Lytechinus pictus: one gene and its partner. The protein of the gene in region 1 binds, or shares a complex with, the protein of each later gene. Links are inferred from orthologs where the notes say so. Each region holds a gene or a part of one and is shown in the gene's direction. Other genes may lie near its edges.

The links.
Region 2: the proteins of regulator of MON1-CCZ1 complex-like (region 1) and vacuolar fusion protein CCZ1 homolog are in contact, whole or in part, in a cryo-EM structure (PDB 8JBE), measured with the Drosophila melanogaster proteins. The link is inferred for Lytechinus pictus from reciprocal best matches to the Drosophila melanogaster genes Bulli and Ccz1. Residues at the interface, in NP_648047.2 of Drosophila melanogaster: Tyr395, Gly397, Phe407, Tyr464, Ser467, Met470, Leu471, Gln474, Asn477, Asn498, Arg499, Asp502, Thr503, Arg505, Arg506, Leu507, Tyr510, Met512, Asp530, Thr531, Ala532, Gln535, Ile538, Asp539, Arg543, His547, Ile550, Lys559, Asp562, Leu566; in NP_647835.1 of Drosophila melanogaster: Tyr188, Leu189, Pro190, Leu191, Asp192, Lys193, Thr194, Phe196, Leu197, Arg198, Gln200, Asn201, Glu207, Val223, Leu224, Cys225, Gly226, Lys228, Tyr342, Asn385, Gln387, Ser388, Pro427, Ala428, Asn447, Tyr448, Arg449, Asp479, Phe483, Lys485.

Annotation. Positions count from the first base shown.
Region 1 is NC_087261.1:21,300,546-21,307,663, reverse strand, and holds the start of regulator of MON1-CCZ1 complex-like, read left to right. Parts: upstream 1-3,956; 5' UTR 3,957-4,068; coding exon 4,069-4,173; intron 4,174-7,118. UniProt on the Drosophila melanogaster protein: Positive regulator of the Rab7 guanyl-nucleotide exchange activity of the Mon1-Ccz1 complex, possibly by enhancing its endosomal membrane association.
Region 2 is NC_087254.1:25,998,322-26,005,986, forward strand, and holds the start of vacuolar fusion protein CCZ1 homolog, read left to right. Parts: upstream 1-4,392; 5' UTR 4,393-4,486; coding exon 4,487-4,564; intron 4,565-7,665. UniProt on the Drosophila melanogaster protein: Part of the Mon1-Ccz1 guanyl-nucleotide exchange factor complex specific for Rab7 that promotes the exchange of GDP to GTP, converting Rab7 from an inactive GDP-bound form into an active GTP-bound form.

The DNA of each region.
Region 1 (7,118 bases):
CTGTTGAATTTTTAAAGCAAGTTGTTTAAGCCCATCAGTTGTTTAAAGATTCTAACATGTTTAAAAAGTTTAAATAATTGTTTAGACATTTTGAACAACATGTTGTTAGAGTGATATAGGCTTAAACGCACCGCTTGTAATTTTGTAAAAGCGTTAGTTTTCATCAGAACACTTGGAACATAATCTTCGAATTATCAAAATAGGATATTCTTTATTGATGAACTTGCAATAGAGCCTTAAAAAGTGCTTCATATTTTGACACTGTTCCCAAGCTTTTTGACATCGCTGCCCTATCCTGAAATTTGAGTACGACCTATGATCTAAATGCTTCTCTTTCTCCCTCCACGTTGCTTGTCGCAGGGGAAGAGATAGAATTGAACTTGTCTAATAGAATTTTGAACCCACTTTCTTAATTGCTTTTACTATTTACAAAATGTAATGGTTAACTTGGAAAACGGATCACCAAAATAATGTTGATTTAACATCTTTGTTTTTTATTATTATGAGTAACCTCTGATCAGGAGTTTTATTCATTCACATTATTGGATTAAAAGTTTAAAACCCTGATACAGACAAAGATAATATTAAGAAACTCACGGGACACGATCAGGGCTATCATAGGGACAATTAGAAAGTTGATATTAAAAATAGGTATATATTATATTGCTTACTTGCTCTGGTCTCTTGCAATTAATCATGGAATGATATATCTTTACTCTCAATTAAAAAAATAGTTTTGTGCTTACGTGTGTGTATCATTAAACCACCGCAAATACCACCAGCACATCATTATCATCGTCATAATCATCATCATCACCATCGTCGTCATCATCATCATCATCTTTATCCCCATTATATATTCTTCTTCTTCTTCATTATCATCATCATCATCATCATCGTCATCATCACCATCGTCGTCATCATCATCATCATCACCGTCATCATCATCATCATCATCATCATCACCATCGTCGTCATCGTCATCATCATCATCATTATCATCATCATCATGCATCATTATTATCATCATCATCATCAGGCATCGTCATCATCATCATCGTCATCATCATCATCACCATCATCATCATCACCATCATCATCATCTTTACCATCATCATCACCATCTTCAACTAAAAAAATGAAATGTTAAATCAACTGAAAGATTGGGGAGCGACAATCATTTCAAAATAATGTTATATCCTACCTTACGTATAAAAAGCTGAATACGATGGCTTGAAAGGGTGTAATATATTCCAGCTAGTATATCTAATCAGTATTAGATTTAGGAGCCACTGTCTTCTATGAACATAATTAAGCGCAATCCTGTATTAAAACTGTCTGGCTGCATGCGTCCAATATCACACTGTTACCTATGTCATGTATTTTGTAGTCCTATTTCACATGGCTTCGACGCAACAGATTTTTGTCTATGATACCACGGGCCTCTAGGTGATGCGTTCTAGCTACTCAAGGTATGGTACAAGCGACCTCGAAATGCTGCGATAGGATCGAGCCACAACTATGGCAGCTTTTCAAGAAAGAGTAAAAAAATAAATGAGTAGGCGAGCAAATTATTCCACAAAATGCTAATATGTCCTTTAAGTGGGTGGATATTCACAGGGCTTTATATATTTATTATGGAGTAACACGGTAAAATAAAACCATTGGCAAATCGCCCCTGTCGTTTGTGTAATTCTCTCCACACCCCATCAGGAGCCGGGGGGGGGGGGGGTGAGTGATGTTTCTGGAGGAGGGGACTCGCGCTCCCAAAAATGTTCATACAATAATGTTGTTTTTACTTTTATCATGTCATTATTAAGCATCATAATCTTGACCCAAATATGGCTTATAACTTCGTATATTTGCCCAAAATAAGTTAGAATCGATTATAAGGCTCGCTCGCTGTTCACGCTCGCAACGGAAATTTGATGCCCGCTGATCCCTCACCTTTTTTGCCTCCTGATGCCAATTCTCCATCATTTTCCATCGGGGGGGGGGGGGGGGCTAGAATTCAGTGAGCTGTACGCAGGTGTTTTTTTTTTTGGGGGGGAACATACTTTAAGATCTATTTCTGTTAAAAAGCTTTCACAATCGAGACTTGCGATCGGTTGCAACCACTTTGGTCACAGTATATGTTGCACACAATCGCAACGGTTGTAAGCAGTCGCATCACCAATAATTGTGAAAGGGGCTTAGGTTTTCAAATTTTATCTTACAGTTGCCATGGTTATATCTCGCCATGCTGAATCATTGTCTTGTAAATGGGTAATAATAAAAGTAAAAAGCAAAAGTACTATTATAATATACGTTCGCCATGTTCTCCAAGTCACTTTTCATCAATCAAGTTAGCCATGTTAGCGTCATGTGCCAATCCTGGTATTTTGCTGACTGAACGATATAGATACAGATATTTTTGTAATAGGCATATCTACTTTTTCCGGGAGGGGGGGGGGTGCAATATTGATTCTGACACATTTTTACCTTTATCGTAGGCTGAATTCCTGCTAAAGTGGGCAGCTAGCTAAGGGCAGGGGCGGCGAAAAAAGTGCCCTTTTTAGGCAAGAAAAATGCCCCCTTACGAACGTATATGCCCCTTTCGCCTGAGAAGGACCTGTTTTATTTGTTAACAAGTGCCATATTTCTCCTACAGGGCCTATATCAGTGCCAAATTTTCACCCCAAAAAATGCCCCCTCACGACCGTGTTCAGTGCCCCTTTCACCTGAGAAGGACCCGTTTTAATTATGTACGTGAACAAGTGCCCCTTGCCTTCCTGACCTTATTCGAATCATTGCCCCTTTTTACCCAAGAAAAGTGCCCCTCGATCACGAACGTGTTCTTTGCCCCTTTCACCTGAGAAGGACCCGTTTTATGTCGTTAGCAAGTGCCCTTTTGCTTTCTTATTAGTGCCCTTTCTTGTATCAGTGACCCTTTTTACCTAAAAAAAAATGCCTCTAAAAAATGTGCTCTGTGCCCCTTTCACTTGAGAAGACCCGTTTTATGTGTCAAAGAGTGCCCGTTTGAAACAGGAAAACATATACGTTACTACTTATGAAAAAAAAGAGTAATCCTAATCTATCACGAAATTGGATTTTCATTAGAAAACTTTCAAAATATAAATGTTACGTGATGAGACATATCTAGCCCCCTAAAAAATGTGGGCACATTACAGCACTGTATAGATAAGTTTTTTCTTCTGTTTTTCGAAAGCCAAAGTGCCCTTTTTTCCTTGCCCCCCCCCCTCCACTTTCAACTTCGCTCCGCCGCCCTTATATAGCTAGGGGTTCCACAGCCCGACTTCCATTGACGAGTTCACAGTCCAGAATAAAGTAGAGATCGAGAGAAACCTGATAAAAGAAGAGAGTATATAGAAAGAAAGAAAGAAAGAAACAAAAAGGGGGAAAAGGGAAGGGATCGAGCTAGAAGCTAGGGGAGAGAGAGAGATACTCAGCTAGAAAGAAGGAAGAATTAAAGGAATGAATGATCACAGGAAGAAGGAAGGAAAGAGAAAGAAAGAAAAAGACCGAAAGAAAAATATGGGAAAAGGATAATGAAAGAAATGAAGAAAGAAAGAACAAATGAGGAATCACTGGGCGCCCGAAACATGCACAGTCGAGTACTGTGCACGAAAGGGTCTTTGCAAGAACCGTCTTTCGTGTCGCCCATTTATTATGATGCGCCATGTGAAACGCATTTTAAATAAATTACCTGCAAACATAATTTATTCATCCGTTAAAGTAAACAAAATCTATGGTTATAAAATGATGTAATATATAATAAAATTGTATACCAATTGATTTAAATGCTAGCTAACAAATTATATTTGCTTATCATACATTTCAGAAATATCCCGCATACAGCGCATCATAAGGAGATGGGCAACACGAAAGACGGTCCTTGGAAAGACCCTTTCGTGCAATCGGCCCCAGCTCGTTTCTTGTGCGTGAAAACAGGTTCAAAGGATGAAGGCTGAAGGTCACGAGATCGCGAATGTGGAGTTGACTGAGTCCTGGTAAAATTATATTGAAAATTGTTCTTCTAACCGAAATTGTTGAAGAATATCTACAAATATGGCTGAGGACCAATCACACTATGTAGAACTGTCGGGAAATCCGATAAGATTTGAACCTATCAGCCGTCAGACCAACGTATTTTACGATGAGGTAAAACGACAGGTAAGTGAGCTGCGAAAACACTATTCCGGCGGAACGCTGTCTCTGATTGTCGCCAGAGCTTCCGGGTATCTACACCGTCATTAGTCGCTGGTTCGGATGTTAATGTGGGCGTGTGCGTGTGAAGCTGCGCTTGATCTGAGTCTGAGAGTGAGACTGAGGTCTGAGCTGAGTCGGACGTCGATCGGATTTAACGGAAAAAACGACTAACGTTAGAGGTCTGGGGACGTATTCTGAGGTCATTTTATCTTGCGTAGAAATTGTATCTGCGTATCTACAGATGATACGCAACAGAGGAGTGCCTGCGTCATGTGCGTAGACATACCCATCGCGTATCTGGGCTTCTGGCCATTGGCAATGGCATTGCAACGCGAATGATGTGCTTGCGCTCATGTTACTTCTTTGAAGAAAAAATAAAATAAACTTAAAAGAGGGTAGGGGCTATTTTATCTCCGCGACGTTGATTTCATCATTATTTCTTGGTGAATTAACTACAAATGTTGACATGAAAATGAAGAAAAATTATATATTTAGGCCTATTGAAAATAATACCTTAACGTTATTCCTGTACAATCAGGAAGAATTTCATAAGACTTTTCTTGACTAATATTGTCTTTGAAATGATGCTTGAAAAGATGCAATATAGACTTCGAAAAAAGATGAATATATTGTCATTTTTTAAAAAGAAATCTCTGTAAAAATGCGCAAGCGTATATTGCAAGCGTGATTGAAGTTAATAAATTGACGCAATCTCACTCCTTTGCCACACCTCCTGGCGGAATGGATTTTCATTGGTTGAGTGATATGAGAGAGCTATAAAAGCGCGTTTCTAATTGGATATTGATTAAAAAATAGGTGTGTCTTACAGAGATAAAATGAACATAAAATTGTTCTCAGAATACCAATTCGGAGAGATTTTAAGGGTATTTTATCTCACTGATTTTAACGGAGATAAAATATTTTATTTTATCTGAGATAAAATGGATCTCAGAATACCACCCCTGTTTGTTTTCAGTTCCTAGGACAAAAAAAACATTTATGCCAAATTATGGAAGGGGGTCCTACATAGCCTTGAGGACTCCATGATGATATTTTTTATTATTTTGACATATATACTTCTTCATCATGCATGGAGCCTTGGCTAAAATTTAATACGTGATTATAAATATTATAATAATAATTTATATTCATAATCACTTATTAAATTTTAGTATTTGTTAAATAATAAATTTGCCATGTTGCCCTCCCCGGGCTTTGCCCATAGGAATCCTGTACAAAATAGAGGACAATATTGGCCATATTTCTGCTAATGCGCTTGCGCAGTTGGAGCCGATTCTGATCGCTAATTTCAGTATTTCAGAAATCTTGCTGGAACCAGTTCATGAAACAAAGTACAACACATTGTAGGCAATGCGCGGCGAGGCCAGTGCGGCATACACAAACGTAACCAAGGCGCAAGATTTCTATGCGTTGAGTGTATGTGCGTGCCATGCATGATGCGCGACTGCAAGGTACATGTAACAATTACGTCACAATTATGAGGCGCCGAATGTACCAATATTATATAGAACAATTATTTGTTATATAATCATTATTTATTAAATAATAACTATTATTTATATATAATTTACATTTTATTTGTAAATAACTACTATTATATAAAATATCATTTCTAATTATTTATATATAATTCCAAGTAATACTTCATTATTTGTAAATAATAATAGTTCGACATTCCATTATTTATAAATAATGATTATTTGTTTTTCATTATTTATAAATAATGATTATTTGTTTTTCATTATTTATAAATAATGATTATTTGTTTTTCATTATTTACAAATAATGATTATTTGTTTTTCATTATTTATAAATAATGATTATTTGTTTTTCATTATTTATAAATAATGATTATTTGTTTTTCATTATTTACAAATAATGATTATTTGTTTTTCATTATTTATAAATAATGATTATTTGTTTTTCATTATTTATAAATAATGATTATTTGTTTTTCATTATTTATAAATAATGATTATTTGTTTTTCATTATTTACAAATAATTTGTTGAGTTTTCCATTATTTATAAATAATGATTATTTGTTTTTCATTATTTATAAATAATTTGTTGAGTTTTCCATTATTTATAAATAATGATTATTTGTTAAATAATGAAAACGTCTACTTCATTATTTATAAATAATTTTTTCGAGTGCACCATTATTCTCATTATTTATAAATAATCATTATTTAATGTTCGAGTTTTCCATTATTTATAAATAAAGATTATTTGTTAAATAATGAAATATCTACTTCATTATTTATAAATAATAATTTTGTTTCAATATCCCATTAATCATTATTTATAAACAATTTTTACAGTTTGCCATTATATACAAATAATCATTATTTATATACAAATAACCATTATTTATTAAATAATGCCATTATTTATTAAATAATGCCATTATTTATTAAATAATGCCATTATTTATTAAATAATGCCATTATTTATTAAATAATGGAAAACTCGCTATAACATGCAAATGTGGGACCGCCCATGATATGAATATTCATGATGCGATTTCCTTTTTCGTGATTTTTCTTCACAAATTTTTGTCCATTTCCTCTTCATAATGACATTTCTTGAAGCAATTTTCTAGGGATATGGTCTGATTGTAATATTCTTCATTTTCTATATAACTTCGTCTTCGTAGAAATATCAAAAAGTGTAATTTTATACGATTTTTCCTACAGTTCACAATCCCCATAGGCGCGCGTGTACGGTAGGGACAACCGGTGAATCGACGGAGTGCTCTTCATCGAAATACTACGTTGGTTGGTCCCCGGAAGTGGCGGGCGGAATTTAGCCCGAATCCTCGATGGAAGTCGATCAAGTGCATATGAGCTGAGAGAGTGAAATATCAGTGTACTTGTACAGGCCCTTC
Region 2 (7,665 bases), on another chromosome or scaffold:
GGGCATGCTGACGTGGCTAATTTAATGAACGCCATGTTTAGGGTGTGATTTATTGATGGAGCTGACTTGGCTTATACACCACTAAGGGTGAGTGACTATTAATAGTTACATGTTAGTATACCAGATAATTTGTTCCATTTTGATGTGAATTTATATGGATTTGTAACGCAATTTGACATGCCGTGTAGGTTTTATCCCAGACGGTTATTGATTTATGGCTCATAAATCAATAAACGGCATCATTGTTATATACATTATTAAAAGGAAAAATAATTTAATTATGAAATTATTAATATATCGCAGAAAAAGAAATAGAAATTACTCAATAGTATTTCGATCGTACCTGGTACAAAATACTATTGAGTAATTTCTATTTTTAATGCTACTGTATGTGTTATGGTGACTTGCCAAATGAAATCAATCAATCAATAAATCCATCCATCCATCCACCAACCAACCAACCAACCAACCAACCAACCAACCAACCAACCAACCAACCAACCAACCAACCAACCAACCAACCAACCAACCAACCAACCAACCAACCAACCAACCAACCAACCAACCAACCAACCAACCAACCAACCAACCAACCAACCAACCAACCAACCAACCAACCAACCAACCAACCAACCACCCAAAACCAAAACCAAAACCAAAACCAAACCAAACCAAACCAAACCAAACCAAACCAAACCAAACCAAACCAAACCAAACCAAACCAAACCAAACCAAACCAAACCAAACCAAACCAAACCAAACCAAACCAAACCAAACCCAACCCAACCCAACCCAACCCAACCCAACCCAACCCAACCCAACCCAACCCAACCCAACCCAACCCAACCCAACCCAACCCAACCCAACCCAACCCAACCCAACCCAACCCAACCCCCCATCCCAGGGCCATGCATTATGAGACAAAATGTACCCCAAATCTGTTGACTCAATAAAGGGATGGTCAGGGCTGAAAATATTTATATCTTAATACATAGAATAGGGTTCACTGAGCAAAATGCTGAAAATTTCATCAAAATCGGATAACAAATAATAAAGTTATTGAAGTTTAAAGTTTATTTTGTGAAAACAGTCGTCATGAATATTCATTAGGTGGGCTGATGATGTCACATCCCCACTTTCCGTTTTCTTATGTTATTACATAAAATCATATTTGTTTTCATTATTTCATACTTGTGTGAATAATATGTCTCCCATATCATGAAATAAGTTGCAGCAATAAATATCTAATGCACTAAATCAGTTGTCAATACAATTTTTCTAGTTCTTGGAGAAAAACTTTGAATAAACCTAATTTTTTATATAATGCCTGGGGTAACGCTGCTAAAGTTCATTTGGATGGGTTATTTAAAGTCCAGAAAAGGGTAATTAGACTAGTATGTGGAGTAAGTTCACGATCTCACACAAATATTTTGTTTTATGAAAACAAGTTCCTTAATTTACATGACATATTTGATCTCAACCTTGGTTGCATTATGTATCAATTAAATAAAAGAGAACTTCCACTTGCCCTAGAAATGACCAAATCCATTTTTACTATACAAGACAAGTTTCTTTTCTCCACTTGCCATTGGTCAAAACTAGTTTTCGGCTAAATACATTTGTTTATACAGGGCCAAAATTATGGAACTCCCTTCCTTCTTCATTGAACCAATCAGTTAGCCTTAGTGTTTTTAGAAACAAGTTAAAGACCGATTTACTGAAGAAGTACTTAAATCAGTAAACGAATACCTGCTTGTTATATCTCGTCTAACTTTAGAAATTGTATTCTTCCCACAATTATCTATGCAACAATAGAGCTTTGCCTATTTTCTTTATATTTTCCTCTTTTCTTTCTTTTCGAATTTCAGATTCTTATACTTTAGGTCTAATAGAATGTTTGCATTCTGCATTTCACCTTTTTGTTACTTTTTAGTGTATCTTTTGTAAATATGTATATCTGTACTTTGGTTGTTTACTCCAATTTTTTGTTTACTTGTTCTATGATGTTTTAAAATGATTCACGCTAATATAAGTTTTTAACATTCTGGTGGCATATGGCCAACAAGCGGCTAAGCTTCTTAGTAGGTCACCACGTTTCATTTCCATCTGTTCTCATGGGTGTTACTAATGTTCCATAAAAAGTAGTGCATGTATTATGTATATTATCCTGTAATTATTTACTTTTGTTCTTTGCTATTTACTTGTTCTCCCAATAATTTACTGTTGTTATTGTTGTTGTTTGATATCGGAATTGAAACGAAATAAAGATTCATTCATTCATTCAAAATACAAAAGAACAAGTGGAGATGTGACGGGGATGTCCACCTAATGAATATTCATGACGACTGTTTTCACAAAATATTGCTAAACTTTAAAATTCAATAACTTTGTTATTTGTTATCGTATTTTGATGAAATTTTCGGCATTCTGCTGATCTGCTCAGTGAATTCTACTCTATTTATTAAGCTATAAATATTTTCAGCCCGGACCATCCCTATAACACCACTCTGTCTCTCTCTATATACCGTATATACAGTGCGTCCCAAAAAAAACTATACACTTTTGAAATGGCTGCCAAATAAAAAATGTAGCACTTTGGGGGAAAAGACTTATAGATATGGAAAGCCAATAAAGTCAACTTTCAAATGACACCAAAAAGTTGGAAAACTATTCATGCTTGAGCGAGCACTGCCCACTGAAACAAAGGGTATGAAAATTAGGGTGGGCCGGAATTAGCCTTCCAATTTCTTTCAGGTTTTTTTGTTTGGTACTTAAAAGTTGAGGGTTATTTGGTGAATTAAAGATCATTTGTGATCAGTTTGTTGTTTGTGTAAATTTAATGCGTTATTAAATTGAAATTTAATGCATGAGTGATCATGAATTGCAATTTTTAGTGCAGCATTTTGTCTTTATCATGTGGATCTCAACAATGTGTTCATGAGAGTCAGGAGAAGAGGGGGTAATATGACTTAGGTAGGTGAAGTACGTTGATGGGATAAAGGTCAACAGAACATTTAAGCAACCCCTCTCTCCATCTCAACCCCCACTTCTCTTCTGAGAGATTAAGCTCGGCTAGACTGGGCAGGAATTAGCCTTACAGTTTTTTGGAGTGGTTAGTCCTTTGGAACTTGCTAAGCTAAGGGTGTTAAGCTAAATTGATGATAAGATAAGTAAGATAAGTTTTGGTTTCTTGGGCAAATTTCACGAGTTACTAAATTGAAATTTAATGCATGAGTGAGCCGGAGTTGTAATTTTAGTGTAGCATATTCATCTTTTGGACCTCAGAAGTGTGTTCGTGAGAGGAAGAGTAATATGATGGTACCTGTTACAAGCAAGAGGGCGAGATATGCTAAGACTTGGTTAAAAGGGCATTCCTCTTCTTTTTGTCCTTTTTACATATTAATAGTCATATGTACCATCCCTTCTCCACCTCCATTTCCCAGCCCCCCCCCTCTCTCTCTCTGTCTCTTTTCCTGGATTGTAGCCTATTCAAAACTTAACTGCCAAGTGACCGGTGGCTGATGGTCAATTTTTTTTTTGGAATCATTACCAAGAAATTTAATGATTATGATGATTAATGAAATAATTTATTGAAAAAAAAATGAATGTTTGATTGATCACATTGCACATTGAATGAGTTGATTTACTAATAAATTGTTGATTCAATGATTGATAGGAAAAAGTTGATGCCCCAATTCAGAATTTATCATTAAATCGACATTCTGCTCTGGACTTCACGCATACATGACAATAGCCATCAGTCTCACAACAGGAGGGGAAGATGGGAAAGAGGGAGGGGGAGGGTGGGAAAGAGGGAGGGGGCGGGGACTCAATGTTCTGTTGACCCTTATTCCATCAACCTGCTTCTCCCACTTAAATCCTATCTCACCCCCTATCCTCCAGACTCCCATGAACACATTGCTGAGATCCACATGATAAAGTTGAAATGCTGCCCAAAAAAGAGATCCAAATGATAAAGTTGAAATGCTGCCCCAAAAGTATAATTTATGCTCACTAATGCATTAAAGTTCAATTACATAATTTATGAAATTTGCTTATGCAACCAAAACTGGTCATGGTTGATCATTAATTTATCACAACGCCCTTAACTTTGCAAGTTTAAAAGGATTTGCCTCTTAAAAACTGACACAAATTGGAAGGCTAATTCCAGCCCACCCTAATTTTCATACCCTTTGTTTCAGTGGGCAGTGCTCGCTCAAGCATGAATAGTTTTCCAACTTTTTGGTGTCATTTGAAAGTTGACTTTATTGGCTTTCCATATATGTAAGTCTTTTTCAGCAAAGTGCTCCATTTTTTATTTGGCAGCCATTTCAAAAGTGTATAGTTTTTTTTGGGACGCACTGTATATTCCAATCCCACAAAATTAACGACACCATAATCCTAACTTTTTGTTCAAGGAATTAAGGACGTGATACGCGAAGACGAAGTCGAAGAAAGAGACCTAAAAAGTACCTTATCTGGAATAATGACCTCTCAGCGGAGCATAGTGAACCTTTCAAATTTCTTCATCTACAATACAAATATAAAATGCAGAGAAGGAGAGGTGAGAATAAGTTCTTTCCGAGGCCGTGTTTCTGTCGCTAGCACTAGCTAGCAGCAGTAGCACTGCTCCGTATATTATAAATCGAGTACTGGTGAGAATCTGTGGTCCCATTAACTTGATTCCGTGGAGGTGCTGTCTTGGCTATTGCCGAAAGATGTAGCCGTCGGTGGGGCGCTAATGCAGTTTCGCACCGGCCAACTTCGAGCAAATTTCCCCACCAGGAATTGTTTACAAATGTCATGGCAAGTCTCTCAGTCACATTTCGAGGTCAATATTCCCACTGCTTTTCTAAATATCGCGATCGGGAACGGCTGCATTTACATGATTTAGGCTTTGCTTTTTGCCTTTGCTATTCTTGACACTCATTCAATGTCAATGAACAAGGTTATGAATATGATATTATAACCTAACCCAGGGAACTCCCGCCTGCTGTGCGGGCGGGAGCCCAGGAGCTTACCGTGTATTTGACCATACTCACGGGACTAGGGTGATTTATGGTCTAAATATTTCTCCAAATGAATTATGAAAACAGTAATCATGCACTTACCACGATTATATATGGATGAAGCCAAGGTCTAACGAGTGGCAGTTTCCTGACATCTGGGCACAGACTGGAACCTCAAAAAACGAAAAGTTCTCTCCTTCTACCCCCGTCTCGATCGGCCATTTTTGTTATGAATTGTAACAAAATGGCCGATCGAGACTGGGGTAGAAGGAGAGAACTTTTCGTTTTTTTGAGGTTCCAGTTTGTGCCCAGATGTCAGGAAACTGCCACTCGTTAGACCTTCGATCCATATAATCGTGGTAAGTGCATAATTTCTGTTCTCACAATTCATTTGGAGAAATATTTAGACCATAAATCACCCAAGTCCCGTGATTATGGTAAAATACACGGTAAGCCCCTGGGCTCCCGCCCGCTGTGCGGGCGGGAGCTCCCTGGGTTAGATATAACCTTGTTCTCAGTTATATCTCAGTCCATGTGTGGCAAAATAAGGATGGCAATGTTTGGCTTATTTTCTCTTTTTCTTTGGGACAAATGCTTGATTTTTTTACACTGACAGTTTCCATTACACCTATTCATCATACAACTTGGCCCTTTAGTAAATTTGATTCTTTAAATTATTTTTTTCTTAATTAAAAATAGAGACAAAAAATGAAAATTTTCTTGCTATATTATTTCAGAGCTGCCAACCATTACGTTTTTGCCGTAATCATTACGTTTTTTCATTCAAATTACGGCATTATGGTTTTTCTTTTCAAATTACGTTTTTTGACAATTTTGATAATGTATGTGGAGTGCTAGATGAGCCTGGTACTTGCTCGTGCGTAGTCGCCCGCCAGCCGGTTTTCCAACGCACTTTAATAATTTGATAGCGTGCACGTACATGTACATTAGTTGAATATGCGAGCGGCATGCATGGTACGAATCGCGATGTATAGCGACTGGTAAATACGTCTGTAAGGATGATGACGTTATCCAAGATGGCAACTTACGATGACAAATGAAAGGATCGAGGATGATTATGTTTTGATCATCATTTGAAAGGAAATAACAGTAACTGCGGTCTAAGGTACAATATCTCTGAATTTTATATATTTTATCTTAAATTTGCATGTAATTTCTTTCCTATAATTAAAGTGATGTTTTATGTACAAAAAAACGATCCGAAAATCAGATTTCCGCCGAATGTTAGATCTAACGTTACTGCTAATACATTGTCTTTAAGCACGGGCCAACACTCTTCAGGTGAGTGGAGCCAACGTTTGTTCTTGCAGCGCAGAGCGAGGAGTACGATGAATTGGGTAGGGTAATTCCCCAAATGTAGTAAGAGAAGAGTCAATTTGTAATGGAGGGGGGATTTGGAGGTTTGAGGGAAATTATTATTCCATTTGCAAAATTTTACAAAAATACTCATCATATATATTAAAGATTGAATCATCAAAAGATATTTTTCATATACTTTAAAATTAATTGTAGTGATAAAGAAATTAAATTTTGAGGCTATTTTCTTGAATTGATTAATATCGATTCCCTTCGGATAACGGGACTGTCTGGTTAATTTTCATCAACTCGTATCAAACAAATACGATGAATTCGGCTTTGAAAAGACCTGGAAAGCTCTTCATTGTCCCCTGAAGTAATAATTCTGGGTGATATTCAACATTTATTGATAGTTTCACATGATTTATACTAGAGAGATGTCCTACTGCCTTTGGAATTCATTAAAAAAGTCGGCACTTTAGCATTCAGTTTAGCAGGAATGGGAAGATTTCTTCCCCGGTTCTGGCGGCCTAGATGTCTGCTCTATAGTGCTGTCACTGCTGGGGATGATTGAGTGTGCGTGCAGTGTGATTGAGGCTGAGCTGTGCACATCGTGAAGTGATTTACGATGGGACTTTTGTGGAATGATTTCAACTTATCTATAGATCTATTTGAATTTTAGATTAGATTGATTTATGAATAATTTTTCTATATTTGTGGAATGTTACATGTACACTTCCATTTTATGACACTTTAATTTTAAAGGGTACTGTTTGGCAAAAACAATGTTACTTGGGAAGAGAAGTCTGAATTGATGTCAACTTTTTTTTTTATTTCTCTTAGTCTACAATTTGGTAGTTTTGTCAGGAAACTCAACATAAAACAAAGAATTATTTTAGAAGTGGAAAGGAAGCCCCAGAAAAATGGAGCCCTAAAAATGTTCACCAGAACTGATTTTGGTGCCCCTGAAAGAATTTTTTCTCGACAGATCTTCACTTTGATAAGTGCCGGAGTAGGTTGCACTATAAAATGAAAGGCCTACTTGTCATTTTTAGAAAAATTTGCCTAGAATAAAAGTGGCCTTCATGCCCTTTAGAATGGCCTTGATACCCCTTGAAATTTTGGGGCATCCAAGGCCACTTTGCCGGTTGCCCCAAGCTGAAAGTGCCCATTTAAAAATGGCCTTGCCCCTCTCAATTCTTAATTCAAGCCCTGCTACTGACTTAATTAAAGTTGGTAGATTATATCAAACAGCCCAAGACTAAGGGTCCAATTTGTAACACTCCGTTACTTAGCCCAGACTAGGCCTAGAGATTAACTTTTTTTAAATTGTTCACTG